Linked DNA regions of Xenopus tropicalis. The protein of the gene in region 2 purifies or fractionates together with the protein of the main gene of each other region. This does not show direct contact. Links are inferred from orthologs where the notes say so. Each region holds a gene or a part of one and is shown on either strand. Other genes may lie near its edges. The genes, in order: ddx5, cdk9 and immt.

Region 1 (10,336 bases), on a different chromosome or scaffold from region 2:
TACACATTAATACAAACTCACTTTTCATCCTTCTCCCCATCATTACACACATCAACAATCTGAAGGATATTGTGGTTGGCACTGAGCTCCAGGGCACCAATGTTAATATGAACATAATCTCTGAGGAAGTCTTCAGCAAGTTGCCTGACTTCTTTGGGCCAAGTGGCACTCCACATCAGCGTCTGTCTGTCAGGCTAGAAACAAAACAAGCAGTAAGTATCCCACACAGTTGGAATGACCATAGGAACATAGGAGACATCCTATAAAAATATACCAGTGATTCATTCTCCTAGATATGGAAGGATTGCATTTGTGTTTTGGACTTAGTGAGAAATTCCACCAATATACCAGTAGTCCCCCCGCCCATCTGTTCCACTTCCTGCTGACTGAATTCTCTGAATGTGCAGGGGAGCCGGCAGCTCCCAGTACACTGCACTGTAGGATAGGAACCAATCAGCAGCTAGGCTGACCTGATATGGAACTGAAGCCTGGCTTGTGCGAGTGCAGGGCTGCGATTGGTTTTCCCTAGTACTGTGCTTCTGGCTGGGACTGTTAGGCATTTATCCTAGGTCTCCTTTAAGCAAAGCTGCACTTACTCGAATTTGATCCACTATCTTTCTGATCTGAGGCTCAAAGCCCATGTCAAGCATCCGGTCAGCTTCATCCAGCACTAGATATGTGCATCTGTTCAGATTGGTCTTTCCTGCTTCAAGGAAATCTATCAGCCTTCCGGGTGTAGCAATGCAGATTTCAACTCCTAAAGAAACAGCATTGTTTAGAACCATAGCAAATGGGAGATATCAAGGTACACAGGACATATTGTGAGATGTCTCACCTCTTTCTAGATCACGTATCTGTGGTCCCTTTGGAGCTCCCCCATAAATACAGGTGGACCTCAAACGACAAGCTCTCCCATACTCAGCTGCCACTTGTTGAACCTGTTGAGCCAATTCCCTGGTTGGTGCCAGCACCAAAAGCTGTAAGGAAACATGTTAGATTATGGTTTATGTCTTTACAGAAATCTCTGGAAATAGAGATGTGGTTCTGAAATCTATTCCCACCAGATTGTAAAAGGTACATGCAGAGTTCTATTCTTGGAGAAAGCACTGCACTGTTCTAAAGCTGCAGATATTCTGACAGACTGCATGGTTTTGGATTTGTATGAAGGGCTAGCAATGTTGCTCTAGATTCTGTTCTTTTCCAGAGCCTGTGATGCAGATCTATTTTCTCCATCTTGATCACTGACAAAGCAAGAACCCTAGCACCCCACAGGTTTGTATAGTCTCACCCCAGCCTAACAATTTGTGGCATTTTGTCAACATATTTAGGGGTAAGCACTGTATAACTTCAATTAACCTGAATGCAGTACCAAGTGAATTCACTATACAAATACCAACAGAACCTATTCATTTCTGCCAAGTATAGAATAGCAGCAATCCACCGACACAATTTACTTGATTGCTACTACATGGGATATTAAGCTTAGACCTGCAATTCAATCACCTTAATTAGGGGGTGACTGTTGCTCAGAGAAAGCTGTGCTTTTATAAAGTTCTGGTCAGTAAGATTGTTACAGTCTAACCCCATTGCCAAGCCATCCCTAAATACACCATGCCCTCAGAGAAGGTTTCAGATGTTCTGCAGTAAGCCTACTTACAATTGGACCATCTCCTCGCTGTAGGAATGGCTGATGGTTGATATGGACAATCCCAGGAAGTAGATACTGCAAACAAGATGTAAAGGGTTAACTTACTAACATTTGCACATGTGCCAGCATGAACAGCATCACCAGCCTAGTACTTACAGAAAGGGTCTTTCCGGATCCAGTCATTGCAACACCAACCATATCCAGCCCACTCAGAGCCACTGGCCATCCCTGCCCTTGAATAGGAGTGGGGTCAGTGAAGTTCTGCCGTTTAACCACTTCCATGAGATTGGCTATAGGGAGACAGAGCGGTCAGGCCGATTCCAACACAACATAAAGAGCTGCAGAGATGAGGGGCAGGGGATTTACCTGGGAAACTTGCTTCATGGAACTGCAAAACTGGCTTTGGACAGTTAAGCCCTCGTACGGTGATCTCTTTGCTTCTTCTGTATTGGTCACATTCTTGCTGCAAAACAAAGTCCATATTGGATTTAGTAATCTGAGCAACCCCCCTGGCCATTTCAGTTAGATAGTGTAGTGGCCCAATGAACACTCATTTATTTACTATAATTACAGGGGTCTAGAGCACCCAAATCTCTCCATAAGGAATGTCCCAGGTAAATATCCACCCTATCCAACAGCAGCAGGACAGGACAAAGCACTGATCTCCATAGCAATCATTTACAATACATAATAACCACCCGTGCTAGCCAGCCAGGCAGTTTCTATGAAAAGATGGTGCCATACACCTAGGGCACAGCCCATGTTAGCTGAAACATACAATAAGAAGCCTTCCTAATGTGCAGATAGCTGTGAGAGGTACCCAGTGCCAAGCTGGTTCATCCCAATCAGGCAGCAAACTCACCGGTGTCCGTCTCACAACATCTGGATGTTCTTGATAGAAATTCTTCTCAAATTTGGGCAGTTCATCCAGGTTCCATTTCTTCTTCATAAGCCGCTCCCCAGGGTTTCCATATTTGCCAGATGTACCACCTCGGTTTCCCCCAAAGCGAGGACCACCTCCAAATCTGAATATAAGACAAAAGGGTCAATGCAAACAATAAGAACCAACTGGGCGACAAAGCAGACTCCTGGCTTGGTACTGCCCTACTGACAATGGCCATGCAGAGCAGGACAATGCTCTCCGATATGCAAGGGGCCATTCATATGCAGTCACTAAGAATACACAGGAAGCTACAAACTACTCTGCTTTAGGGGGAGATCCCACCATTGGCAAAGAGAAGCCTGGGCTCCAAAGCCAACTCTCAGACAGCCCCAGAGTAAAGTTGGCCATACACACACCAACCTTGTTTATATTCGGTGCGTGTATGGCAAGATCGCAGGAGGCTCCATTAAAGACACCTGAGCAAAATCTATTTTCACGGCTGAATCTGCAGAAATCCTATTGTTTCTACCTCTATCGGACGATTCAGCCCTGAACGTCAGTGGAGGGTTGGAACGATCTTTCGTGCGACCACGTGTGGCCAGCTTTAGAGCAGAGACAGCACACACTGATCAGATGCAACACATATCTGGCAGGCAGTATATTTAACAGAGGTGCGGCCCTCAGCTATTCCATGAGCAGGCACAACAAATGGGCACTGCCAGAAAAAAGCATTTATTTTTAGTGCAGCCAATGCCAGTCCTGGTCCTTTACAGGATTCCATCCTGGCACCTCACTAGGCCCATAATCAGACCCAGAAAAGCCATCAGGAAAATGATAATTTGTTTTTAAGTTAGAAGCATCACCTTCCTTCCCATTACTGCGCAGAACCCCAGGGGAGAGAGGCCTATGCAAAATGGCCACTGAACTGTGCTGGGTATATGCCAAGTAGGTTCCCTGAGGGCATGCCGTGCCAGTGTTACATAAACCGACAGAGGGAGGTGCCAAGTGGTTGCCTAATCAGCAGTGCAAGGAGCAGTTGCACCCAGACTGCAGGTACTGCTAGGTGAGAGCTCTGCCCCAGCATGGGGCAACTGTAGGAGAGTCTATAAACCCAGCAGGGATATTCTGCAAGTACACCTTGTTCCTGGTTACAGGCAGACTGATCATACCCAGGGGACACTACACAGATATGCCAGCAGCGTGCCACACAATAGGGCAGGTACTATGGGAATATACCCAGGCAGACAGATGCCACACAATAGGGCAGGTACTATGGGAATATACCCAGGCAGACAGATGCCACACAATAGGACAGGTACTATGGGAATATACCCAGGCAGACAGATGCCACACAATAGGGCAGGTACTATGGGAATATACCCAGGCAGACAGATGCCACACAATAGGACAGGTACTATGGGAATATACCCAGGCAGACAGATGCCACACAATAGGACAGGTACTATGGGAATATACCCAGGCAGACAGATGCCACACAATAGGGCAGGTACTATGGGAATATACCCAGGCAGACAGATGCCACACAATAGGGCAGGTACTATGGGAATATACCCAGGCAGACAGATGCCACACAATAGGGCAGGTACTATGGGAATATACCCAGGCAGACAGATGCCACACAATAGGACAGGTACTATGGGAATATACCCAGGCAGACAGATGCCACACAATAGGGCAGGTACTATGGGAATATACCCAGGCAGACAGATGCCACACAATAGGGCAGTTGCTATGGGAATATACCCAGGCAGACAGAGGCCACACAATAGGGCAGGTACTATGGGAATATACCCAGGCAGACAGATGCCACACAATAGGGCAGTTGCTATGGGAATATACCCAGGCAGACAGAGGCCACACAATAGGGCAGGTGCTATGGGAATATACCCAGGCAGACAGAGGCCACACAATAGGGCAGGTACTATGGGAGCAGTACCAAAGGAATATACCCAGGCAGATAGCACAAGAAGGTGCAACACAATAGGATAGTTGCTATGGGAATATACCCAGGCAGATAGAGATGCCACACAATAGGGCAGTTGCTATGGGGGAAGTACCAGGGGAATACACCCGGGTAGATAAACAGCTGCCAGGATAAATAGCGACAAAGGAAGATAAAAGAATAAAGCGGCAGGGAGAGGGGAGTGAGGCGGCCCCGGGGAGAGGGGAGTGAGGCGGCCCCGGGGGAGAGGGGAGTGAGGCGGCCCCGGGGGAGAGGGGAGTGAGGCGGCCCGGGGGAGAGGGGAGTGAGGCGGCCCCGGGGAGAGGGGAGTGAGGCGGCCCCGGGGAGAGGGGAGTGAGGCGGCCGGGGAGAGGGGAGTGAGGCGGCCGGGGAGAGGGGAGTGAGGCGGCGGGGAGGCGGCAGGGAGTGAGGGCAGTACAAGTACGGAGGGCAGTACAAGCGCCAGACAAGGCAATAGAAGGAGAGCCCTTCCCCCCCCCGCCGCCATTTTGTGCAGAGACAAAGAGCCGCAACTGGTGCCTCCGCCATCTTGTCTCGCCGAGCCCCGCCTCCCGGGAGCCGAACAATACAATCCATCGCTCGGAAGCCCCGTTACTCATGGGCCCCCCACACACACACATCCCATAATGCCTACCTACCGTACCAGCCGCCATCGGGCGGAAACATTAAGCCCAAACAAACTCCCCACTGGCCTCTGCCAGAAGCTGCCGGCACCTCACGGGGAGACCCCCGAGTACGTACCCCCTGTCCCGGGCGCGGTCCCTGTCGTTGAATCCGGGCATGGCGTTACACAAAGGGCGTTCCGGGAGCGGCTGTACAGACGGGAGGGCTCGGCAGGAAGGGAAGTAACACGCAGCGCGCACACACCTTATATAAGGCCGGCCGGCAACTGACGTCACCATATTCCTCCGCGGGGCGGGGCCTTGACCTACCGCCGCCATATTGCTTCAGGGAAACCTGTCCAACAAGTAGAAAAACCGACCAGCCGCTCGGTGTTAACCTTTTTCCTGGCTTCCGCCCCAACGATATTGCAAACTGAACCGTGAGCGTGGGGCAGCGGCTGCTCCCGCTTTTGTAGCGGGATATCGACCACGTACTGGTAGCGGGACACCGGCCCAAAGTAAAGATGGCGGCAGAGACTAAGCGATGTGACCATGTGACCGGCAATGCGCCTTTTCCCGGAATTTTATTATCTGTGGCTCATGTTAGTCAGTGTGTGTTGCGTGGGATGAGGCAAGGCCAGTAAGGCTGTGTTCCCTTATTAGCCCCGCCAGGCACACCCAATGGGTACAACTATATTGCCTCATACATATACGGGCTACATACAGTCCCCATTAGTAAGTGCTTGAGCCTTCCCGCTCAAGGTTTTGTTCCTACTGCTGAGGAGCCCTGCCAATTCCTCCCCACTGTGTCCCTGCCACTTCCTCCCCACTGTGTCCCTGCCACTTCCTCCCCACTGTGTCCCTGCCACTTCCTCCCCACTGTGTCCCTGCCACTTCCTCCCCACTGTGTCCCTGCCAATTCCTCCCCACTGTGTCCCTGCCACTTCCTCCCCACTGTGCCCCTGCCACTTCCTCCCCACTGTGCCCCTGCCACTTCCTCCCCACTGTGTCCCTGCCACTTCCTCCCCACTGTGTCCCTGCCACTTCCTCCCCACTGCCTGCCCTCCACTTCTCCCCACTGTGCCCTGCCAATTCCTCCCCACTGTGTCCCTGCCACTTCCTCCCCACTGTGTCCTGCCAATTCCTCCCCACTGTGCCCTGCCAATTCCTCCCCACTGTGTCCCTGCCAATTCCTCCCCACTGTGTCCCTGCACTTCCTCCCCACTGTGTCCCCTGCCACTTCCTCCCCCACTGTGCCCCTGCCAATCTCTCCCCACTGTGTCCCTGCCACTTCTCCCACTGTGCCCCTGCCAATTCCTCCCCACTGTGTCCCTGCCAATTCCCCTCCCCACTGTGTCCCTGCCAATTCTTCCCACTCTGTCCCTGCCAATTCCTCCCCACTGTGTCCCTGCAAATTCCCCCCACTGTGTCCCTGCCAATTCCTTCCCCACTCTGTCCCTGCCAATTCCTCCCCACTGTGTCCCTGCCACTTCCTCCCCACTGTGTCCCTGCACTTCCTCCCCACTGTGTCCCTGCCACTTCCTCCCCCACTGTGTCCCTGCCAATTCTCCCCCACTGTGTCCCTGCCACTTCCTCCCCACTGTGTCCCTGCAATTCCTCCCCACTGTGTCCCTGCCACTTCCTCCCCACTGTGTCCCTGCCAATTCCTCCCCCACTGTGTCCCTGCCAATTCCTCCCACTGTGTCCCTGCCATTCCTCCCCACTGTGTCCTGCCAATTCCTCCCCACTGTGTCCCTGCCATTCCTCCCCACTGTGTCCCTGCCAATTTCCTCCCCACTGTGTCCCTGCCACTTCCTCCCCACTGTGTCCCTGCCAAATTCCTCCCCACTGTGTCCCTGCCAATTCCTCCCCACTGTGTCCTGCCACTTCCTCCCCACTGTGTCCCTGCCAATTCCTCCCCACTGTGTCCCTGCCAATTCCTCCCCACTGTGTCCCTGCCATTCCTCCCCCACTGTGTCCCCTGCCAATTCCTCCCCACTGTGTCCCTGCCACTTCCTCCCCACTGTGTCCCTGCCATCCCCCCCTCCCTGCCACTTCCTCCCCACTGTGTCCCTGCCTTCCTCCCCACTGTGTCCCTGCCAATTCCTCCCCACTGTGTCCCTGCCACTTCCTCCCCACTGTGTCCCTGTTCCCTGCCAATTCCTCCCCACTGTGTCCCTGCCACTTCCTCCCACTGTGTCCCTGCCACTTCCTCCCCACTGTGTCCTGCCAATTCCTCCCCACTGTGTCCCTGCCACTTCCCCCCCACTGTGTCCCTGCCACTTCCTCCCCACTGTTGCCCTGCCACTTCCTCCCCACTGTGTTTCCTCCCCCCAACTTCCTCCCCACTGTCCTGCCACTTCCTCCCCACTGTGCCCTGCCACTTCCTCCCCACTGTGTCCCTGCCACTTCCTCCCCACTGTGTCCCTGCCACTCCCCCTGTCCCTGCCAATGCCACCCCACTGTGTCCCTGCCAATTCCTCCCCACTGTGTCCCTGCCACTTCCTCCACTGTGTCCCTGCCACTTCCTCCCACTGTGTCCCTGCCACTTCCTCCCCACTGTGTCCCTGCCACTTCCTCCCCACTGTGCTGCCACTTCCTCCCCACCCACTGGCCCTTTCCCCCACTGTGTCCCTGCCAATTCCTCCCCACTGTGTCCCTGCCACTTCCCCACTGTGCCCCTGCCACTTCCTCCCCACTGTGCCCCTGCCACTTCCCCCACTGTGTCCCTGCCACTTGCCCTCCCCCACTGTGTCCTGCCACTTCCCCCACTGTGTCCCCTGCCAATTCCTCCCCACTGTGTCCCTGCCAATTCCTCCCCACTTCCTCCCCACTGTGTCCCTGCCACTTCCTCCCCACTGTGTCCTCCCTGTCCACTGTGTCCCTGCCAATCCTCCCCACTGTGTCCCTGCCACTTCCCCCCCACTGTGTCCCTGCCAATTCCTCCCCACTGTGTCCCTGCCACTTCCTCCCCACTGTGTCCCTGCCAATTCCTCCCCACTGTGTCCCTGCCACTTCCTCCCCACTGTGTCCCTGCCAATTCCTCCCCACTGTGTCCCTGCCACTTCCCCACTTCCCCCCACTGTGCCCTGCCACTTCCTCCCCACTGTGTCCCTGCCACTTCCTCCCCACTGTGTCCCTGCCACTTCCTCCCCACTGTGTCCCTGTCCCCCACTGTGCCCCTGCCACTTCCTCCCCACTGTCCCTGCCACTTCCTCCCCACTGTGTCCCTGCCACTTCCTCCCCACTGTGTCCCTGACACTTCCTCCCCACTGTGTCCCACTGTGCCAATTCCCCCCCTGTGTCCCTGCCAATTCCTCCCCACTGTGTCCCTGCCACTTCCTCCCCACTGTGCCATTCCTCCCCACTGTGTCCCTGCCACTTCCTCCCCCCTGCCACTTCCTCCCCACTGTGTCCCTGCCACTTCCTCCCCACTGTGTTGCTGCGTATTCCTCCCCGCTGTGTCCCTGCCAATTCCTCCCCACTGTGTCCCGCCACTTCCTCCCACTGTGTCGCTGCATATTCCTCCCCACTGTGTCCCTGCCACTTCCTCCCCACTGTGTTGCTGCGTATTCCTCCCCGCTGTGTCCCTGCCAATTCCTCCCCACTGTGTCCCTGCCAATTCCTCCCCACTGTGTCCCTGCCACTTCCTCCCCACTGTGTCCCTGCCACTTCCTCCCCACTGTGTCCCTGCCAATTCCTCCCCACTGTGTCCCTGCCAATTCCTCCCCACTGTGTCCCTGCCACTTCCTCCCCACTGTGTCCCTGCCAATTCCTCCCCACTGTGTCCCTGCCACTTCCTCCCCACTGTGTCCCTGCCACTTCCTCCCCACTGTGTCCCTGCCAATTCCTCCCCACTGTGTCCCTGCCAATTCCTCCCCACTGTGTCACTGCGTATTCCTCCCCACTGTGTCCCTGCCACTTCCTCCCCACTGTGTCCCTGCCACTTCCTCCCCACTGTGTCCCTGCCACTTCCTCCCCACTGTGTCCCTGCCACTTCCTCCCCACTGTGTCCCTGCCACTTCCTCCCCACTGTGTCCCTGCCAATTCCTCCCCACTGTGTCCCTGCCACTTCCTCCCCACTGTGTCCCTGCAACTTCCTCCCCACTGTGTCCCTGCCAATTCCTCCCCACTGTGTCCCTGCCTAGTACTGTGTTATATGTGCGTAACAGTTGGCTTTTAGCCGCACTGAGTAGCCAAATACACCCGTTAGACTTCAGGTAACTAGTAAGTCTTATAGGGACTCCCTGCACCCTTAGTTAAGGTGTTCAAACAAGGGCAGATATCAGCGGCCAATTTGAGTCTGTCAGACCAATTTGGCCGCTTAATTGCCTGTGTATGGGCCTTGACCGGTACCTGGCCTAAAATTGGCTAATGTCGATCAGGCAGGTTTGAATTTTGTGTCGGGGGCCCTGTCGGCTCGTTGGTGCAGTCCTACCTATAACGGCTCCTATTGCTGTTTTCATTTGATCGTTTGCCCCTTGGTGCAAACAATTGAATTTCTCAGATATTGCCCACCTTATGTGGTCATATGGGCGGAAAGATCCACATATTTGGTGACCTCGCCGAACCAGCAAATCTAATGGTGTATGGCAGGGATCCCCAACCAGTGGCTAGGGGGGAACATGGTGCTTCCCAACCCCTTGGATGTGGTGCCCAGTGGCCTCAAAGTAGGGGCTCATTTTTGAATATCTGGCTTGGGGGCAAGTGTTGGTTGCATAAAACCCAGTGTAAAGTCAAACAGAACCTTCTATAGGCCGCTGGTCCCCATACAGGGCTACCAGATAGCCAAATATAGGTCTTATTTGCACCCTCAGGAACTTTTTCCATGCTTGTGTTGCTCCCCAACACTTTTTCAATTTGAATGTGGCTCATGGGTATAAAAGGTTGGTGTATGGGGACCTTCTCTAAGGGGCCCATTCATGAAACAAGGATTTTTTTTCAGAAAAAATCGTAATTTTTCTAATTTACAGAACTTTTTGTAATGACCATGATAATATCGTTAGAATTACGCAACATATTCGTGGTTTGCATTAACTTCCATGAAAAGGTAGTATTTTTGCAAAGACTACGACCATTTCAGAATTCATTCAAGCTTTGGTATTGTGACAATTTTTTGGCCAGGTTGGAGTGCCATTGAGTCCTATGGGAGGCTTCCAAAATCATACCTTGAAGGTTTCAAAGCCAGATAGGTTTTCGCACTGTTTACGAACGTTCGG
Region 2 (10,240 bases):
TCAAACATGGACTGATTGTGAGTAGAGAGCATGTTCTTCAGATCAGAAGGCATCGGGTCAGACCAGAAGAAATCATGATTCAGGGCGTCATCACTGTCGATTCTCTGAGCCGGGTCCAAAACCAACAGCTTGTCTATAAGGTCCAGTGCATAGAGATCTTTCACATAAGCCTTTAACCTTTCCTTCACCTTTCTTTTCTGGCCTTTGGGCAGTTCCAGCTTCTGGTACAACTCATATTTGTCCACATTTGGCCAGACCTAAAATATATTAATAAAATAAACTATCCGGTTTAGGTGTTTAATTAGATTTACAGATATCTAAGGGTTCTGATCTCTTTCCTAAGCAGAGCAACATCAGAATACAACAGTTACAGGAACCAACCAGCAGGTGACAGCATTGTTAAAAAATTCATTATTGGCAGTTAAAAACTTTAAATACTTAAATAGCTCTGAAACTGAATAAAACATAATTAATGTAAATTGCTTTTTTTTAGTTTAGTTATCCCACGACCAATGAGACCACTTAGTCCTAGATATGATCCTGGACCAGAGCAATTCATTAAAACTCACCTCTGGTGTGATGGAACCGCATAATTGGCTGATGAGTGTTAGCTGATGCTGCTCCGTATTCCCCTGCATAATGGGGCTTCTGGTCCACATCTCAGCCATGATGCACCCTGCTCCCCACAAATCAATGGGAGGACCATAATCACGCTCTCCTACAAGCAGAAAATGGGAAAAATATTATCCACACTGTTTAAAGGGGTAGTTCATCTTTAAATTAACTTTTAATTTAATGCAGAGTGCTATTTTGAAACAATTTGCAAATTGACTTTTGTTTTTTCATTTGTGTTAGTTTTTTTTGTTCAGTTGCTCTTCAAGTTGGAATTTCAGCAGCTATTGGGTTGCTAGGACCCAATTTAACCTAGCAACCAGGCAAAGGTTTGAAAGAGACAGGAATATGAATAAAGGGGGTCCTAACTAGAAAGATAATAAAAAGTAACAACAATAATAAATTTGTTGCCTCAGAGAGCAATAGTTTTTTGGCTACTGGGGTCAGTGACCCCCATGTGAAAGCTGAGTCAGAAGGGGAAAGCAAAAACAATAAATAAAAAATGAAGACCTACTGAAAAGCTGCTATAAACATGCTAAAAGTTAAAGTCCCCTTTAAGATATACATTAGCTAACAGTATATCCTGCATCAGAGCTGGATCAATTGCAAAGACTATTATTATGGCTTCCATCAGACATGAATGTTATGACCCGACAGCTTCCCTTTTTGGGGGATTCAGACTTTATTAGTGCATATAACCACATGACCGTCCTTACCTAGGAGTAGCTCAGGGGGCCGATACCAGAGCGTAACCACGCGATTGGTGTACTTGTTTGGCTGGCTGTTCTTGGCAAGGCTGAATGCTCTGGCAAGCCCAAAGTCTGCAAGTTTCAACACTCCGTCCCTGGTGATCAGTACGTTTGCTGCCTTCATGTCTCTGTGCAGGATCTGTGGGCATGAGTCCATTAGACACAGGTCCTACAAGAACAGTAAATGCCCAGGATGGGAAGAGAATGGAGCACTTGCTCACCTTGTTCCGGTGAATGTAGTAGAGGCCGTTGAGCAGCATTTGCATTACCTTCTTGATCTCGGAGAGCGTGAACTTGACATGAGCATTGCTCAGCAAGCCTGCTAGATCATGCTCACAAAAGTCGAACACCAGGAAAATAGTTCCTTTGCATCTATTGTACTGGTTGGCTGTGGGAGAAACTAGGTGGGCAAGAGAGTCTAGAGCACGGCCCCACAAAAGCAGCATAAGCACAACAGTTGCACATTTACAAAGGGCAGACACCAAGCAGGACCAAATGTGTCCATCAGGGACCCTCATACCAAATGCAGGCACTGTGGCACAACTCTGGCTATGAGTTTATGCCTTAGCATTCTACATAGTTCCAAAAATAATTTGGTCTTGCTAGGTTCCACTTTTATACCCCACTCTCCCCTGCCAGGAACATATTTCTTTTAAAGGGCCATAGAGAGGTAACCAAATTTATTGAGCAAGAGTCTACCCCAAAACAATGCGATGCATATATATAGCAAAGCTCACTGCACTGCTATTTAGACTTATGGCAGCAGGGGTAGCAATAGAGTATGACTGATATACCAAAAGGGCGCAAAGTCAGCCCCTGACAAATAGAGTGATCTGCTTTAGCAAGGTTCCCTACACTCCCCTCCCAGTCAAATTGCTTATAAGCCAATACTGTCAAGTCCACTGGAAACCCTCCAACACCACCTAAACTGTGTTGAAGGACTGGGTCACTGGGTTTAAGGACTGGGTTGTTCTACACCTGGCAGAGGAGATGCTGCAGCTTCCATGCAATGTGTATGGCATTGGCTTGGTTTTCAATTGAAGCAGGATAAGAAAGACAGAGCCAGACAGAGATAGGGAGTCTAAGGGGCAGGACATTCACAACAACCATGCTGTGTGTGTCTTTGGCTGTAAAAGCCACCACCCAAGCTGCAACCCCCCAACACAGCACATGCAGCACAAAGTGAGAGAGACACAAAATGTTTCTTACTTTTTGTCCGACAGATCTCTATGAGGTTAACTACGTTCTCGTGTTTCAGCAGCTGCAGGATTTTTATCTCTCGCAGAGCCGTGATAGGAAACTGAGAAAAAGAACATGATTTCATTAGATAGATGTAGTTAGAGACACACATGTGCCATAATTAAATAATAAACTATATCCTTATAAATGGTGCTTAGTGATGCCATCAGCTATAATTGGCTTTTAGTGATGTTATACCCGTCACATTACTTGGGTATTATAATTAATGGACCTCCCTGTTGTAAAATATGAGAATATTAGACATTACCTTAGAGCAGGGATCCCCAACCTTTTATACCCATGAGCCACATTCAAATGGAAAAAGTGTTGGGGAGCAACACAAGCATGGAAAAAGGTCCTAGGGGTGCAAATAAGAGCTATAATTGGCTTTTTGGTAGCCCCTATGTGGACTGTGGCTTTACATTGGGTTTTTAAGCAACCAAAACTTGCCTCCAAGCCAGAAATTCAAAAATGAGCACCTACTTTGAGGCCACTGGGAGCAACATCCAAGGGGTTGGGGAGCAACATGTGGCTCATAAACAGCTGGTTGGGGATCACCGCCTTAGAGTTTCATGACCTGTATAAAATCACTGGGTCCTTTATATGGCCATGGAACTCCTCTGTGACTTAAAATATCCTTTTATTTTACTATGGGGGTGCATTATTCACTATAAAAATACTAAACAGAATGGTATAAAAGGGTCTTGTTACATGCAGACCACAGCATTAGTACCTACCCCTTCCTTCTCGTTTTCCATCAGAACTTTTTTAAGTGCCACTTTCTTCCCCGTCTGTCGATGTTTGGCCTTGAACACTTCCCTGTGGGTCCAACACATAGAAACAGATGAGTCAATGAGTTCCCAGCATAAAAAAAATAAATAAATGAACTTCCATGATTGGCAGCCATCCTTCCGATAGAAAGGAAAAGCCCTCAGTGACTGTATAATAGGGATTGTACCCTGCAGCTATACAACGACTTAGAACATTCATCTAGGGTACAGTAATAAAACTATACATACAGACTAGGAATAATGGCACATACAGCAAAATTATATTGATAGAAAAACTGTACAGGTATCGGACTCCTTATCCGGAAACCCATTATCCAGTAAGTTCCAAATTACGAAAAGGCCATCTGCCGTAGACTACATTTTAATCAAATAATAAACATTTTAAAATGATTTTCTTTTTCTCTCTAATAATAAAACAGTACCTTGTACTTGATCCCAAAGAAGATATAATTAATCCTTATTGGAGACAAAACAATCCTATTGTGTTTACTGTTTAAATCATTTAATTCGCAAATTACAGTTCTTTCCGTAATTTGGATCTACTACCTTAAGGGCTCTGGCACACGGGGAGATTAGTCGCCCGCGACAAATCTCCCTGTTCGCGGGCGGCTAATCTCCCCGAGTTGCCATCCCACCGGCGAACATGTAAGTCGCCGGTGTGATGGCACACGCGGTGGCACGATTTCTGCAAATCAACGAAAATGCCTCGTGAGGCAACTTCGGCGATTTGCTAAAATCGTCTGCGCAGCGTGTACCATCCCACCGGCGACTTACATGTGTGGGATGGTAGTTCGGGGAGATTTGTCGCGGGCGACTAATCTCCCCGTGTGCCAGAGCCCTTAAGGTAGTAGATCCAAATTACGGAAAGAACCCTTATCCGGAAAACCCCAGGTCCCGAGCATTCTGGATAATGGGTCCCATACCTGTGTAACATGGAACTGTACTTCGCAGAATCCCAATACAGAGACAGGGAATCTGGACAGAGCTATATAGCGAGGAATGATAAGGATATATGGTATGGCACTATAGTTAGAATAGGTATAAAGGGATAAGGTCATAAATATAGATGTGTATATATTACTGTATGAACTATAGATCCATACTAATATCCCAACTATACCTTGTGTACTCCATACTGTATGTACTATAAATCCCTAGTTATAGCCCTTTACATAGCTCAGGTACACATTCCCCTTTTACATAGCTATGTACCATAGATGTATACTTCTACTCCATATCTGTGTCAATAATCTATTTATTGATCCAGGGACAGGTCCGATTGCCATCTTGGGAGTCAGGAAGGAATTTTTTTCCCCTCTGCAGCAAATTAGAGAGGCTTCAGATGGGGTTTTTTGCCTTCCTCTGGATCAACTAGTAGTTAGGCAGGTTATATATAGGCATTATGGTTGAACGTGATGGACGTATGTCTTTTTTCAACCCAACTTACTATGTTACTATGTAATCTCACTCTGTTTGTGTGTCTACAGCTAAAAAGCTATACAAGGATATGGACACCAGATAACTAACCCGAAGGTGCCCTGGCCGATCTTGGCGAGCCGCTCGTACTTGGAGACCTCATCACAGTAAGGGAATTCCACCGAGTCGTAGTTCTTGGCCATGGCGGAGGGAGGGGGTTCCGAGCCGGAAGGCCCTCGAGAATCAGATTCCGGGCACAGGCCGCCGGGCCCCGGCCTTTCCCGGTGCTGAGCCGACGAGTTCAGGCTGTCTGACGGGTTGACTTGGGCTAGGCCGCAAAGCCTCGGACTCCTACTGGGAGACGTGTGTGAAAACACTGAAGGCGTCAGTAGCAGTTTAAGGACGGTCTTAGGCCTTACAGCCTCGGCATTTCTTTCAGTCGCAACCCCGCAGTGGCCCAATAGAATTCGCCGCGCTTGTGTATTCCAACCCTCCGCCTATTCACATGGAATCGCCCAAACACAGCACAGTGAGGGTAATGGGAGGGACCAACTAGCGGAAGGGAGGGGGCTGCTCAATACAATCTAGTCTATTTGCATTTGAACAAAAATGCTATATGGCGGGTGGGGTGACTTCAATTGTAACTTTTGCGAACAGTGTGAAACCATATTTTGCATCACTCAAAGATGTTTACAGTGTCATGTCACTCAATGGCCCAGAGGGGAACTTGAACTTTTGATTAAAAGCAAAGGGTTTTACATTTTGCTAAGAGAAAAAACGAGTTTTGCAATCCGTGTTATTTGTTATGGGAGGATTATAATGATTTCTTTTCCGCCAATGTTCAAATCTGGGGTTCCCTACACCTGTTTCTAGGGCAACTGACCAAGGCAACAGATATGAGAGAGACACATCAAACTGCAATCACAGGTATTGTAGAACTAGAACTAGTTGGGTTATTGTTATTAATGCAACAGTGCTGTACCAGAGAAGCATTATATGTCAAACATACAGATACTTATACACAGGGTCAGATTGAATTCCAGGTTTTATTTTTGTGGCAAGTGGAATAGGGATTTGCAAAGAGATATTTATACACAGGCCAAGAATCAGCCCTGTGTTGCCTTACCTGTACCCAAGCTATGGTTGCTACCTATTCTGAAAAAATATACCGGCCTTCCTATATTTTTAACTTTATAACCTATTAATAACATTGGCATCAAGCGTAATTTTTAACAGCCAGGCTGGTAAAATACTGGCCCAGCTGCAACATTACCCAAGGTCCAAACGAGGGGTAGGCACAGTCCATTTCAACTAAACAGATGCCCAAACAGTCCCTCAAATAGTGACTGTCTATGGCAGTGTTTTTCAACCTTTTTTGGGCAAAGGCACACTTGTTTCATGAAAAAAATCACGAGGCACACCACCATTAGAAAATGTTAAAAAATTTAACTCTGTGCCCAGCAGCAGTGCCCCCCTAGTACACTGGTGCCCAGCAGCAGTGCCCCCCTAGTACATTGGTGCCAAGAGCAGTGCCCCCCTAGTACATTGGTGCCCAGCAGCAGTGCCCCCCTAGTACATTGGTGCCAAGAGCAGTGCCCCCCTAGTACATTGGTGCCCAGCAGCAGTGCCCCCCAGTACATTGGTGCCCAGCAGCAGTGCCCCCCTAGTACATTGGTGCCAAGAGCAGTGCCCCCCTAGTACATTGGTGCCCAGCAGCAGTGCCCCCCAGTACATTGGTGCCAAGAGCCAGCCCCCCTAGTACATTGGTGCCCAGCAGCAGTGCCCCCATAAGTCAGTGTGCCCCGTGGCCCCCCCTAATACATTGGTGCCCAGCAGCATTTTACTTCTGCTCTTCGGCGGCTTCAGCAGCATCTTTCCCTCACGCGCGCCGCCTCTGCACTTCTGCCTACACGCGACCGCACACAGGCCCTTTTATAACGTTGCGCCCCGTGCGTACTGACGTCACCCGTACACACGGGGCGCAACCAATGACAGGGCCCGGATTTTATTAAAGGGGGCCCGAGCTACTAAGAAAAACTGTAGCATCGCCGGGCCCCCTTTGAAAGTAAAAATTGCGGCCCTGCCTACGGCACACCAGGCAACATCTCGCGGCACACTAGTGTGCCGCGGAACAGTGGTTGAAAAACGCTGGTCTATGGCATCCTACAGAAGCCCCTCTGGCATTTGCCAGAAACCGCAAATTGCCAGTCTAGGCCTGGGTAGAGAAAGACAGAAGAGGTATGTGCCTAGCATCCCACCACCACCACCAGAATTGATCCATATGCATGTGCCTCTTCTGCCAACCTCTAGTAGCTGCACATCCACCCTCTGATGGACCCAGGTCTGGACTGGGAGTCAATATAGGCCCTGGCATTCCAAATACCCAGAAGCCCAAACTGCCTCCCACCAGCCCACTAAATAATGACTGTCTATGGCTTCTTACACCAGGCCTGCTGGCATTTGCCAGAATCCCTGTGCCATAACAGGATGCAGCGGGTGCTGTGACTGCTTTGGGCCAGGAAAAAAGAGGGGCCTAACTTATGCAATTTTAGTACAGGTTTGTAATCAGATTGTTCCTTTCTAAGTAAAAACATTGGAAAAAAGTCTGGGGGCCATAGAAATTTTCAGTTGCACCTCAAGATTTTCTGATACTAATTAGTGTGCGCTGGGGCCATGCATTAATGCATGCCTTCAGTCACAGGAAGCTGGCAGAGGCAGACAGAATACGGAAGCCAAACATGTTCCCTGTATATAGTACTGATGCACAATGCACAGCCGGGCACCTCACAGGGCCAGCCAATACTACCAGTGGCTCCTGAACAGAAAATGATCAGATCAAAGGGAGTTGTCATTTGTTAGATGTTCAGCGAAAAGTTGCTCCTTCTTAACTCACACCCAATTTGTGGTTCAAAGGCTCATCTCTAAAACAAAAAAAAAAACCACAGTGGGTGTCAGAAAAGTTACAAGTTCACAGGGCGGGGGGGGGGGGGGCCATGTGCGACTATTACCCAAGCAGAAGGAAAGGAAATAAACCGCCAGAGTCGAGAAGCAGAAGACGTGCGTTACACTCATTGAGAATAAGTTACAGAAACTGAGGAATTTTGCACCTGGGACCTGGCCTTGCCACCCCCTGACCTGATAAAATGGGGGACCCTACAAAGAAACCCACGAACAAGAAATTCCGTAAGTATGAGCAGCATTCTTCTATTTTCTTGCATGCTTTATTGTGTGCACCTTGCATGCACCAGTGCAAGAGCATGCTGCAGCTCAGAACACTGAGTATAGCCTAGTCACTATAACCATACTTGCTTCGCGCTGCATAGCTGTCTCTTTGGCAGAGATGCAGGGCTTCTCATGATGCCATTATCACCTGGGTTGTGTTGTTCTGTTCAGTATGGCTGCAGGAACTTGGGTATAGTAGACTGTAATGACCCTAGAGGTAGCTGCGATCCGAAGATGCTGACCATGTAGTGCCCACATGCAGTGAGAATATGCTATATTTGTAGGTTACTTAATTATCCTTTTTATAGCTCCTGCATATTTTGCAGTGCTTTATAAAGATTAAACATCATTCCCATCAATCCCTGCCTCAGTGGATCTTACAATCCAAGGTCCCTATCACATTCACACACACAAGGGGAAGTTTTATCAGCAGCCAGTTAACCTGGAGAGTGGGTGGAAACCGGAGTACCCAGAAGAATTCCCCATAGACACTAGGAGAATACATAAATTATCTATTGTGGAAAAAAATCACTGTATTAAATGGAATCACATTCTGTCCTGACTACAAGATTAAAGGGGAACTCTACCCAAGAATGTGTTTTGCATAATGAAGAAAATATACTGTGCTTTTTTGATGATGAAAATCCCTGATGGAGGTTCTGTTCTCAGGAAATTACATAAATTACAAACCAAACTTCTAAATATTATAATTATTATTATTACTACAGGTATGGGATCCATTATCCAGAAACCTCCAAATTACGAGAAGACCATCTCCCGTAAAAATGATTCCCTTTTGCACCTGTTCCAAACTTAGATATAATAAATCCTTATTGGTGGCAAAATAATCCTATTTAATGTTTAAATAATTTTTCGGTAGATTTAAGATGTGTAGATCCAAATTACGGAAAGATCCCTTATCCAGAAAACCCCAGGACCCGAGCATTCTGGATAACAGATACCATACCTGTATTGACATGTATATATACATGTATAAAGTGCCAAGCAGTATTGTGCAATAATTAGGTTTATATATATTCAGATTTGTAGTGGGATTTAAAATAGGCTTTGGTATTGCAAGTACACAGATCCCCAAACTGCCCCCCACCAGCCCACTAAATGGTGACTGTCTATGAAATATTACAGCAGCCCTCTGGCATTTGCCAGAACCCACAGATTGCCAGTCCAGGCCTGGATAAATTAAAAATACAGATTACATGCAAAGGACAACAACCAATATGAGAGGTGAGAGGGCCAAGCCCAAAAGAACATGAATAGGTTTATAATTTCAATATAACTAGCTAGGGTTGCCACCTCTGCCAGCTTTCTTAGCTGGGCAAGAGGTTTTTACCCGGGCAGGCCTGAAAACCGGACAGGAGGCAACACTAACCACAGCTCTGCAGCCTGAAACATACCCTTACCCATATGACTGTGTTTCCTGACACCAGAATTAATCAAAAAAGGGTTAACGGAGGAGGAGGGGACACCCCATTCAAACATATTTTGTGCCACTGTCAGTTAATCTAAACTTGTGGTTTTGTGTGTATCTAACTTCTTCGTTTTAACTGTAGGTGAGAGCGAAGGCATAGAAGTCCCATGCACCACACCCATTGCTTCTCTGTACTGTAACCCCCTGTACCCATTTCCTTAGGAAAATGATGCATGGTACATTTAGGTGTGCCATAATGAAGCACCTATGGGCACCAGACCTGGACTGGCAATCTGTGGATTTTAGCAAATGCCAGAGGGGCTGCTGTAAGATGCCATAGACAGTCACTATTTATTGGGCTGGTAGAAGGCTGTTCAGACCTCTGCGTACTTAAAATGGCAGAGCTTTTTTTTTTAAGTCACAGTTTTTTAAATCGCTGATAGACACTACGGGGCACATTTACTAACAAGTGAAGTTTTGCCTCGGGAAGCTTCACCACACTTCACGCAACTACTAATTCGTGAGGCATACACTTATTCACTAAAACGCAAATGTTTGGTGCAGCAAATTTTCGCCAGAGATTTTTCGCCAGCACATACTTTTCCTAGTGAATTTTCTCTAGCGGCACTATCTTTCAGAGAAATCAGTGGCTATGTATACAGGACAGATGTGTGTATTTATTCCAAAGTCCTTCCAATTCCAGTATTCCAGTTCAGCTAATTCCTTCAGACAGGCTATCACTCCTGTGCTCCAGTTGTAGCACTAATTAAAGGAGAAGGAAA
Region 3 (10,336 bases), on a different chromosome or scaffold from region 2:
TGATAGCCAATGTAACCCAAGCATAAAACAGAAAAAATGGCAGATTTTTTAGGGTGGCACAAATCTGGGGGCGACATGCCGCCCAGCCGCACCAAAACGTGGACATTTTGCTCCCAAAAATTGCCCCAGCTGACACTGTCCTGCTAATATAATTACACTGATAGCTTAACTATGAATCTGCCTAGTATTTATACGCTAACCTTACTGAGCCAGCCTAAAGGTGCAACAGGCCTATAACAGTAATGATTCAGGCCTTCACAGTTGTCCAAAGTAGCTCCCCATCTTGTATCCTGTTAGTCCACCTTTTACCATGTCAGTGACTTTGACATGCTCAGTGTGCCCTGGGCGGCTCTTGACAAGCTAAGGTTATCAGGCCATTAAAAATTAAGTAGAGAATGATGTTTATCTGTCATAGAAGCTGATACTCTAGGGTTGGTAATTCAATTAGAGACCAGAATTCACTGTTTTTTGAGGCACCATGTAATTACCATTGTACTGTGATGCCCCTAAGCTCAGGTAAGTGGCAGCAGCCTAAAGTGCATGCTGGGCACAAGCAGAAAAGATGGGGGGCTACTGGGGCATATTAAGAGACACAGATCTTCCCTGCTAAAGGGCTGTTGGTGCCTTGGGCTGGTACAGAACCAACAAAACATAATAAATAGCACGTCTAGCTTTGGGGAAATCCAACAGGTGATGTAGAAGCGATCTTATGTTCTCAATAAACATGCCAGCAGCTTCAAACTGACCTTATCCAGCCACAACCATCACCCCACTTTACTGGAAGCTCCGCCCACCTCTGGCTTATCATTATGAACTGTCACACCAAACCAAGAATTTGCTACCGGCTTTCAGCCACTGCTGTGAATGACAGCCTTACATTTATCGTATATAAGCCGATCCGAATATAAGCCGAGGTACCTAGTTTTACCTAAGAAAACTGGAAAAACCTATTGACTCGAGTATAAGCCTAGGCATCCATTTCTTTTAACACACCTGCACACTAGCTTGTGTCCGAGTAGTAAGGGCAAAGTAGTAAGGGCAAAGTAGTAAGGGCAGCGCCGGATTACTTGTCCAACCGGCCAGCCATCTAAATGTTATCATTTAGATGGTTTGCATGTAGCAATACAGTGATATCCCGGCTCCTGCAATGGCTGCTGTCTGTACCACAAGCACAATCACACACAATCACTAAGAAAAGATAGGAAAGACAACTTATCTGGAAAAGTCCCAATCATTCTGGATAATAGGTCCTATTCCTGTTATGGCTGATTGTCAGTGAAGGAACCACACAACAGAATCTGTTTAGCAAACTGTGGCTTTCAAGTCAGAGCAGTTTCACTGAGGTGCTCCTCGCTCCTCTCACAGGCAGCCTAGTCAGTTGGAGGCAGACACTTTTATAACTAGGGATGCACCAAATCCAGGATTCGGTTCAGTATTCGGCCAGGATTTGGCTGAATCCACAGTCCTGGCTGAACCGAATCCTAATTAGCACATGCTAATTAGAATTTGGATGGGGTAAATGTCCGCGTGAATTTTTTTTTTTTACCCAATGCTAATTAGGATTCGGTTCAGTATTCATCCGAATCTTTTGGAATGGAATTGGGGGGTTCGGCCGAACCCAAAAAACTGGGTTCAGTGCATTAATATTTATAACACAGAAGCGAGGTTAATTAAACAGCATTGACCTTAAGGGCCCCATACACGGGCCGATTCTAGCTGCTGATATGGGTCCCTTAGACACTACCGACAGGACTGCCAGACCGATATCCAGCCTGAAATCAGCCAGATCTCTATCTCGGGTATAGACTTTGCCTATACCCCCAGGGCCAAATGATTGAATTAGCCTGGATTCTCCCAATATCGCTCCCACCCAACATCGCCAAGCGAGCGGTTCTTATGGTGTATAGGCACCTTTAGAGCTGCTGGCAGAAATATTGCTTCTCTTTCCCACAAAATCCCTCATTCTGCCACACTGTATAGAATAGATAGGTTATACAGAGTATATAATAATACAGAGTAGATATAGTTATATAGGTCCATGCCAGATTACCATAAGGGCAGCACAGATAGACGCCCATGGTTTCCAGGGGAAATAGTAATGTGAAGCTGGGGACTGGCCTGGGACAGATCTAGGGCATGAGGCCGGTATGGACTGGGATACAAAATAGTCCCTGGCATTGCAAGTACACAGAGGCACAAACAGCCCCCCCCCAGCCCAATAAATAGTGACTGTCTGTGGCACCTTACAGCCCCCCTGGCATTCCCAGTACCCAGAGGCACAAACAGCCCCCCCAGCCCAATAAATAGTGACTGTCTGTGGCACCTTACAGCCCCCCTGGCATTCCCAGTACCCAGAGGCACAAACAGCCCCCCCCAGCCCAATAAATAGTGACTGTCTGTGGCACCTTACAGCCCCCCTGGCATTCCCAGTACCCAGAGGCACAAACAGCCCCCCCAGCAGCCCAATAAATAGTGAGTGACTATGGCACCTTACAGCAGCCCCTCTGGCATTCCCAGTACCCAGAGGCACAAACAGCCCCCCCAGCCCAATAAATAGTGAGTGTCTGTGGCACCTTACAGCCCCCCTGGCATTCCCAGTACCCAGAGGCACAAACAGCCCCCCCAGCCCAATAAATAGTGACTGTCTGTGGCACCTTACAGCCCCCCTGGCATTCCCAGTACCCAGAGGCACAAACAGCCCCCCCCCAGCCCAATAAATAGTGAGTGTCTGTGGCACCTTACAGCCCCCCTGGCATTCCCAGTACCCAGAGGCACAAACAGCCCCCCCCCAGCCCAATAAATAGTGAGTGTCTGTGGCACCTTACAGCCCCCCTGGCATTCCCAGTACCCAGAGGCACAAACAGCACCCCCAGCCCAATAAATAGTGACTGTCTGTGGCACCTTACAGCCCCCCTGGCATTCCCAGTACCCAGAGGCACAAACAGCCCCCCCAGCCCAATAAATAGTGACTGTCTGTGGCACCTTACAGCAGCCCCTCTGGTATTACAGATTGCCAGTCAGACCTGCCATGATGCACTGCCCCAACCCCACGGCCAACGTTACTCTGCCCCCTGGGTGTGCTCAGGACATAGCTGGGGATTTCTCGTTGGGCAGGACTAAAACCCTTCAGAAAATCACCTCTGTGTCAGTGTGCTGAACCCCTTCTACCACCTTTCTGAAGAGTTACATAGTGCCATTGTGAGTGGATTAGTGGAAGAGTACATATGCTGAGGGCTTCCCATACCAGTCAGTTGAACTGAAGAAGCTGCTCGGATGAGTAGTGAAATGTCTTCAATGATCACCAAACAAGTCCAGTTGCTTTAAATTTATTTATACTAGATAACCCCTTCTAATGTTTTAAAACATGGTTGACAGGTAAAACAAATAAAACTAGTCATTTATTATTATTATTAATAGCATTTATTTATAAAGCGCCAACATATCCCGCAGCGCTGTATAATAAGTGGGTTCCATACATTGGCATACCTCCCAACTGTCCCGCTTTTCGCGGGACAGTCCCGACTTTCATTACTCAGCCCGCTGTCCCGGATTTTTGTTTAAATGTCCCGCTTTTCAATTGCCCGCTTGTGACTGTGACGTCATGATTAGACTGCTCCGGGAAGCACAGAAAGATTGTGATGTGAACGCTGCAACGGAGATTCCAAGCCGACAGGATGGATTTATTGCTGTTGCCCTCTGCTCTTTTATGGCTCCTTCTCCCCTGCTGCCAGTATGTATGTTAGTAGCAGCTCACTACAGAAGCCTCCCTGTCTCCCACTCCTACCAATTCCTCCCCCCTTCCCGGTACCAGGCCCGGATTTGTGGAGAGGCCACAAAGGCCCGGGCCTAGGGCGGCAGAAGTTTAGGGGCGGCATGCCGCCCCGCCGCAAAAAAAAAATTAAATTTGGCTCCCATACGGAGCAGTCGGGACCTCTCCCCACTGCTCCGTATGGCATTTTTAAAGAGCGCATGCGCACTGGTGGGGCCGCTTTCGCGCATGCGCACAGGAGGGCGCGCTTTCGCGCATGCGCACTGGGGGCGCTTTCGCGCATGCGCACGGGTGGGGAGGGGACGACCGACAGGGGTGGCCTCGGGGCGCCCAAAACAGAAATCCGGCCCTGCCCGGTACAAGTTTCACTAAGCTGTTTACCTGCTACCCCCTACACCTCTTTCACTGCTGAGCTCTCTTTAGCTGTCTCCTTCTGATAACCTCCCTACCCAGAGTTATCCTGAACCTTTAGGCCAACATTTCCTTAACCCCAGTCTTCCTTACTGGTACAGGACAAAACCCTGATGGTGGTCAGTGTATCATCTATAATACTACCTGCAGGGTAATTAGCTTAACCATGTTAGTTTGCTACAACTCCCTGCATTCATTAATATCTAAAATACATTTTGCTTTCTATTAAAAGTATTGCTGAAAGGATATTGCCTTATACTTCTCACTGTAATGTATGCCTTATACATACACTGTAATGCTTGTGCAACAATGAGTGTCATGACATGCTGTGCTACTGTGTATGGGGGCACTGTGTATGGGGGGCACCTGTGTATGGGGGGGCAAAACTGGTACATAGTTATAACTCACATATAACTCACTGCCTTCTCTCTATATTTGTATTTATATGTAGGAGTTGCTATAATGTTTCCCTTAGGCAGTACAGTATGAGAGTATAGCACATTTGCGTCTGATCCCGCCATTTTAACTATATAAAAGGAGTATTTTTTTAATGGGGTGTGGTAATTGGGGCGTGGTCACAAAAGAGGGTGTGGTCAAAAAAATTGCCGCGCTGCGCGCACCAAATCTTTTTGTCCCTCTTTTCATTTTTCAAATGTTGGGAGGTATGCATGGGACATACAGAGTAACATATAAAGCAATCAATAACCGATACAAGAGGTGAAGAGGGCCCTGCCCAAAAGAGCTTACACTCTACAAGGAGACATACAGAGTAACATATAAAGCAATCAATAACCGGTACAAGAGGTGAAGAGAGCCCTGCCCAAAAGAGCTTACACTCTACACAAAGTTATTACAGAAACAGCTGTGACTTGTGAAACTATGCAAAGGATAGTTCTCTAGGTGTATCAGCTGCTTCTGCTACATTGCTGTGAGTCAGAACCCGCGGTGCACAGACTGTAACCAGGCAGGCACTGCTTTCAGCCATCACAGAGCTGCACAGAGAGTGTAAAGTTTATTTTAACCACATTTTATTGCGCAAAAGCCAGTTTCATGGTGAAAGTCCCCTTTATTAATACGTAGTGCGAAAAGTCATGTGGTACAAACTCTATAACACTGCGATAAACCACAACACACGATATCCCTGTTAGGAACTACAAGTACCAGCATGCCCCAGCCATGAGACCCGTATTGGATACGCAAATCCCTATCTTGTTCTCAGAAGTGTTATTAATAAAGCTGTTGAATTAAAAAAAAAATCAAGCTGTCATGCCATAGTGGGCGTACCCCGGCGAATGACGTAGGCGGAGCTAGAGGTGCTACACGGACCGCGCCTCCATTCATGCCGTACTGAGAGCGCTCCCGGAGCTTGCCCTCCCCATCACACCGGAGAACATGCTGCGGGTGTGCAGGAAGGCCCAGGCGGCGGTGCTCGCCAAGGTGAGTGGATAGCGCGAAAGAGTACACAGTGTTGCAGTGAGGGAGCTTCTAGTTGGGAGAATGGGCGGGGATGGATTCTGACAGGATATCGCCTAAAGGCCGGGAAACAGCAGTACTGAGCCTTACGAAGTAAGGGACCCCGGCTTCCAAGGCTGGGAGCCGTCAGCGGCGCCTAGGACTTCCTTTCACTCCAGCCAATTACAGGCAACCGCTTTAACAAGCTGCAGGCTGACCGGCCAATCAGATTCCAATGTCCTTGGCACTTTAGCCAATTACCCCTTGGTTAAATATATGACGCTGCTCGGGCGGGGCTAGCGTTAGATTGACGTCTGTTAGACCTATAACGTGGTTAGTTGTTTTGACGGACGTTCTGTGAAGCCAATGAGCGATGTATATTTTGGCAGGTAGAATGGAAAGCTATAGTGGCGAGGGACTGTGAGGCGGCATGGGGCTAGGTCACCGGGGCACACGGCCTGTATACGGCCTAAAGTTTATTTTAGCCTCAGTGGCTAATTGTACCCTCCTGCGAGAGCGCCCCTGTCTGCATAAACCCCACTTGTCTTTTGCCTGTAGGTGTGACCTTGCTTGGTGTCCCATCCCCAGGGCCTAGCTCCTATCTGGTGCCAGGGACAGTACAGAGAGTGGCAAAGAGCTTAGTTAAAGTTATTGGACCACAACTCCCAGCATCCCTTGACAGCCTTTTGCGACAGTTAAGGTTTGCTTTTTGATTGGGAGAAAATATCATCTTTTCATTCTTCCATATAAATTGTATAAAAGCGCTGCTTCACCTTCACCATTGTGTCTTTTTATTACTTATCTTTCTATGTAGGCCCTCTTCTATTCATATTCCCATCTACCTTTTAAACCACTGGCTGGTTGCTAGGTTAAATCGGACCCTAGCAACCATACAGCTGCTAAAATGTAAAATTGGGGAGCTGTTGAACACAAAGAAAAATATATCAAAACCTGCAAGTAATTAAAAATGAAGACCAATTGCAAACTGTTGCAGAATAGCACTCTCTGCATCATACTAAAAGTTCATTTCAATGTAAACTGCCCCTTTATATGTACATTGTGTTGTATGAAGCAGATCTAATGATGTATAGAGCGTTGGCACTCTGCCTTCTACTTTCTAATCTGTATCTGACCCCAGCCCAGGGTAGGAATCCTTATACAGGTGTACTAGGGACCTGGGGAAGGTATATTTCCATTATTTGGATCTCCATACTTAATAATTAAAAGCTGAAATAAACCCAGTAGGATTGTTTTGCCACTCACATGGATCTGTGCTGCTTAGTTACCATCTCATACAAGGTACTGTTCTAATATTTCAGAGAAATAGGAAATCGGAATTATTTGCTTATAATAAAGTCTGCAGAATATTAAAGATGAACTCTGGCTTCTGCGCCAAAATGTGTTACAGAGCCCCACACAGCACAGAAACCCCCCAAATCCCTATCACTGTAATCTGTTCCTTCAAAAAGTAGGAATAAATACCATTTTATATGCTGAAATCCAGCTGCAAAACAGTTCTTCTCTTTCTGCATCATTTGAAATCCTGGCAGGGGAGAAGGGACTAAAACATTGATGTTACAAATTGTAACAACTTCTCCACAGCTTACTGACAGCATGCAGGAACCCACAAATTCTCCGACATGGGGGCAATATCAACAGGAGCCAGTTAACTTTCCCCTATATTGCTGGAGGATGCACAGCAATGGCACAGAGGAACGTTACTCAGATGCCAAGCACACAGTGCCCAATCTGCACGTAATGCTCAGCAATGTGGGGCAGGAATGCTACTTAACGTGCCACCCTGCTCCCATTGATAGCCGTGCCCTTGGATGTTGATATGAATAGGTCACTATGCTATCTTTTTTTACCCACAATGCAGTTTTTATCCCCCCCCCCCAGCAAAATGGCAGGTACCCTCTAAGGCTTATGGCACAAGGGGAGATTTTCTGCCCATGGCTAAATCTGGGCTGCCGCGGGCAAGGAAATAAGCACTGTATATGCTTTCCCACTGTCAACTTACTTTACTGCTGGTTGCAAAGCATTTTGGGGAGATTTGTCACCCACAGTAACCCAGATTTAACCAAGGGTGACAAATCTCCCCTCAGGCCCAAAATGGCAGTCTATGGATTGCTGTAAGGTGCCACAGACAGTCACTATTTATTGGGCTGCTGGGGGGCTGTTTGTGCCTCTGGGTACTGGGAATGCCAGGGGGGCTGTAAGGTGCCACAGACAGTCACTATTTATTGGGCTGGGGGGGCTGTTTGTGCCTCTGGGTACTGGGAATGCCAGGGGGGCTGTAAGGTGCCACAGACAGTCACTATTTATTGGGCTGGGGGGGCTGTTTGTGCCTCTGGGTACTGGGAATGCCAGGGGGGCTGTAAGGTGCCACAGACAGTCACTATTTATTGGGCTGCTGGGGGGCTGTTTGTGCCTCTGGGTACTGGGAATGCCAGGGGGGCTGTAAGGTGCCACAGACAGTCACTATTTATTGGGCTGGGGGGCTGTTTGTGCCTCTGGGTACTGGGAATGCCAGAGGGGCTGCTGTAAGATGCCACAGACAGTCACTATTTATTGGGCTGGGGGGGCTGTTTGGGCCTCTGTGTACTGGGAATGCCAGAGGGGCTGCTGTAAGATGCCACAGACAGTCACTATTTATTGGGCTGCCGGGGGGCTGTTTGGGCCTCTGGGTACTTGTAATGCCAGGGACTATTTTGTATCCTAGTCCGGGCCTGTATCCCTGTGTGTCCTGTGAGCTGCAGCCTGTGTGAGGGGACAGATTATCATCCACTTTGGGAAATTGTGGTGCCGTGTGTGTTGCCAGTTTTTCCTAATTGCTGTGTGTGTGCCTTTATTTGTGCCAGTAATGCAGGGGGGCATCAGCTAGTTTGCAAATGGGTTGCATGTGTGGTTGCGTCAGTACAGCCGGCATGAAGGCTTCTCACTTACCCATGGGCCCTGTACCCTGGGCGCTGTTCCTCAGAGCAGGCTGAACTGCTGCAAAGTACAAGGTGTCGGTGTAAATAAGATTTAAGCACACAGAATTGCATGTGTATATGAGCCTTAATATGTACTATACATTTGTTTCACTAGTTGTACAGGTGCAACGTGGAGCTGTTTGGGTGAGGGGGCTGTTTGCTTTCTGCCCTGATCTGGTGGCTGCACACTTCCTTGTGCTGTATATATGGGGTACCCTTCACAGGGGTTTGTCCGGTTGCCATTGATCATTGGTTGTGTATAAAGGAAATATTTCCATTCATGTTCTACTTATCTTATGTGCAGTGTAACATTCTGCAGTATACTAATAGTATCTAATGATAATGATTTACAGACCGCAAACACACACTCTAAAGGTCCCCATACACGGGCCGATAGTAGCTGCCGATATGGGTCCCTTAGACCGATTCGGTAGCTAATCAGCCCATGTATGGGCGCTACCGACGGGCCTGCCCGACCGATATCTGGCCCGAAATCGGCCGGATCTCGATTGGGCGGGTTAGAAAATCTAGTCAGATCGGGGACTGCATCGGCTCGTTGATGTGGTCCCCAGACCGACTTTGCCTATACCTGTCATTATAATTCGATCATTTGGTCCCAGGGCCAAACAATCGAATTACCCTGGATTCTCCCAATATCACCCACCCGTAGGTGGGGATATCGGGAGAAGATATGTTGCCAAGCGAGCGGATCTTATGGTGTATGGGGACCTTTACTTGCAAATAAAAACTCTTGTGAGTTTATTTATTTACTAACTTTTGCTCCGGGTCTAGTAACTCATGGCAACCAATGATATGATTGCTTTCATGATTCTGACTGCTCTAGACCAGTACAAACTGCTACCCAATGCCCTGTGGGGAAATGCCTAATATGCAGTTGGTTACAAGGACATTCTAAGCACAATATTCCCTAAATTGGGGTTCAGGTAATAACCTTAGGGAAAGAATGGGGTAAAGCAAGAACATGTTATGTAGCTATTTTAAAGACTTTACTGAACTGTAGAGCTGTTCTGTTGTTGGAACTGAGGGGTTAATCATATTTTGTGCCGGCTGGTGTCTCTGCTGGATTTTCCTTTGTAACCTTGGTAACCCATGAATTGGCACCCTGTTAGTGGAACGTATTCCTGCCAGGCATCCTGCTGCAGCACCCTCTGCTCTTGCGGTTGGTCTCGGCCGGGCTGGGCAGGCGCCTTTGAGCCTCCGTGGAACCAGTGAGTCATTAGGAAACCAGGAAATGTATCTGGCTTGTCTGCAGCATCACTTGGCATCATTTACTTGCCGGGGCCTATGAGCAGTACTGATCTCCCATACTGACTGCACTGGTTAATAGGAAATATAATGTCCTGGAATTTCCATTTCAAAGGAAGTGCTAACAGTTACACACAGCCTCTATAATGTATTGGCTTTGATACCAGTGCTCCCAGTGCACCCAGATGTCACTTCCCTGCAAGTTAAACCTATAGTGATTATGCCACCGGGGGGGCTACTGTAAGATGCCATAGACCTGCCCTTTCTATTAGGCCTGAGGGAGGGATGTATGTGCCTCTGTGTATTTGGACTCTCAGGCTGTGCATAATCAATACATTTTCCTTGTTTGTTCTCTATTAGGAATGCCTGTGTAGCAGAGTATCCCTCCGTCCCTTGCGTGCAGCCAGATCCTACTCTACTGCTGAATCATCTGGGTATGTGTGGCTTTTTCTTGCAGCTTGTT

What was found.
Region 1: the proteins of cdk9 (region 2) and ddx5 purify together in Homo sapiens (affinity purification with western blotting; 3 studies listed by BioGRID, with this or other methods). This does not show direct contact. The link is inferred for Xenopus tropicalis from reciprocal best matches to the Homo sapiens genes CDK9 and DDX5.
Region 3: the proteins of cdk9 (region 2) and immt purify together in Homo sapiens (affinity purification with mass spectrometry; 3 studies listed by BioGRID, with this or other methods). This does not show direct contact. The link is inferred for Xenopus tropicalis from reciprocal best matches to the Homo sapiens genes CDK9 and IMMT.

The regions. Positions count from the first base shown.
Region 1 is NC_030686.2:51,529,542-51,539,877, reverse strand, and holds the start of ddx5 (probable ATP-dependent RNA helicase DDX5), read right to left. Parts: upstream 5,316-10,336; 5' UTR 5,298-5,315; coding exon 5,257-5,297; intron 2,674-5,256; coding exon 2,511-2,673; intron 2,112-2,510; coding exon 2,015-2,111; intron 1,939-2,014; coding exon 1,805-1,938; intron 1,724-1,804; coding exon 1,658-1,723; intron 978-1,657; coding exon 836-977; intron 758-835; coding exon 597-757; intron 195-596; coding exon 22-194; intron 1-21. UniProt on the Homo sapiens protein: Involved in the alternative regulation of pre-mRNA splicing; its RNA helicase activity is necessary for increasing tau exon 10 inclusion and occurs in a RBM4-dependent manner. Binds to the tau pre-mRNA in the stem-loop region downstream of exon 10.
Region 2 is NC_030684.2:24,560,197-24,570,436, forward strand, and holds the start of cdk9 (cyclin-dependent kinase 9), read right to left. Parts: upstream 5,324-10,240; 5' UTR 5,011-5,323; coding exon 4,919-5,010; intron 3,420-4,918; coding exon 3,338-3,419; intron 2,662-3,337; coding exon 2,571-2,661; intron 1,780-2,570; coding exon of another isoform or gene 1,762-1,779; coding exon 1,583-1,761; intron 1,501-1,582; coding exon 1,329-1,500; intron 719-1,328; coding exon 570-718; intron 258-569; coding exon 1-257. Other genes in the region: sh2d3c (SH2 domain-containing protein 3C), read left to right, coding at 7,951-7,990. UniProt on the Homo sapiens protein: Protein kinase involved in the regulation of transcription.
Region 3 is NC_030677.2:17,820,667-17,831,002, reverse strand, and holds the start of immt (MICOS complex subunit MIC60), read left to right. Parts: upstream 1-5,444; 5' UTR 5,445-5,572; coding exon 5,573-5,617; intron 5,618-10,233; coding exon 10,234-10,307; intron 10,308-10,336. UniProt on the Homo sapiens protein: Component of the MICOS complex, a large protein complex of the mitochondrial inner membrane that plays crucial roles in the maintenance of crista junctions, inner membrane architecture, and formation of contact sites to the outer membrane.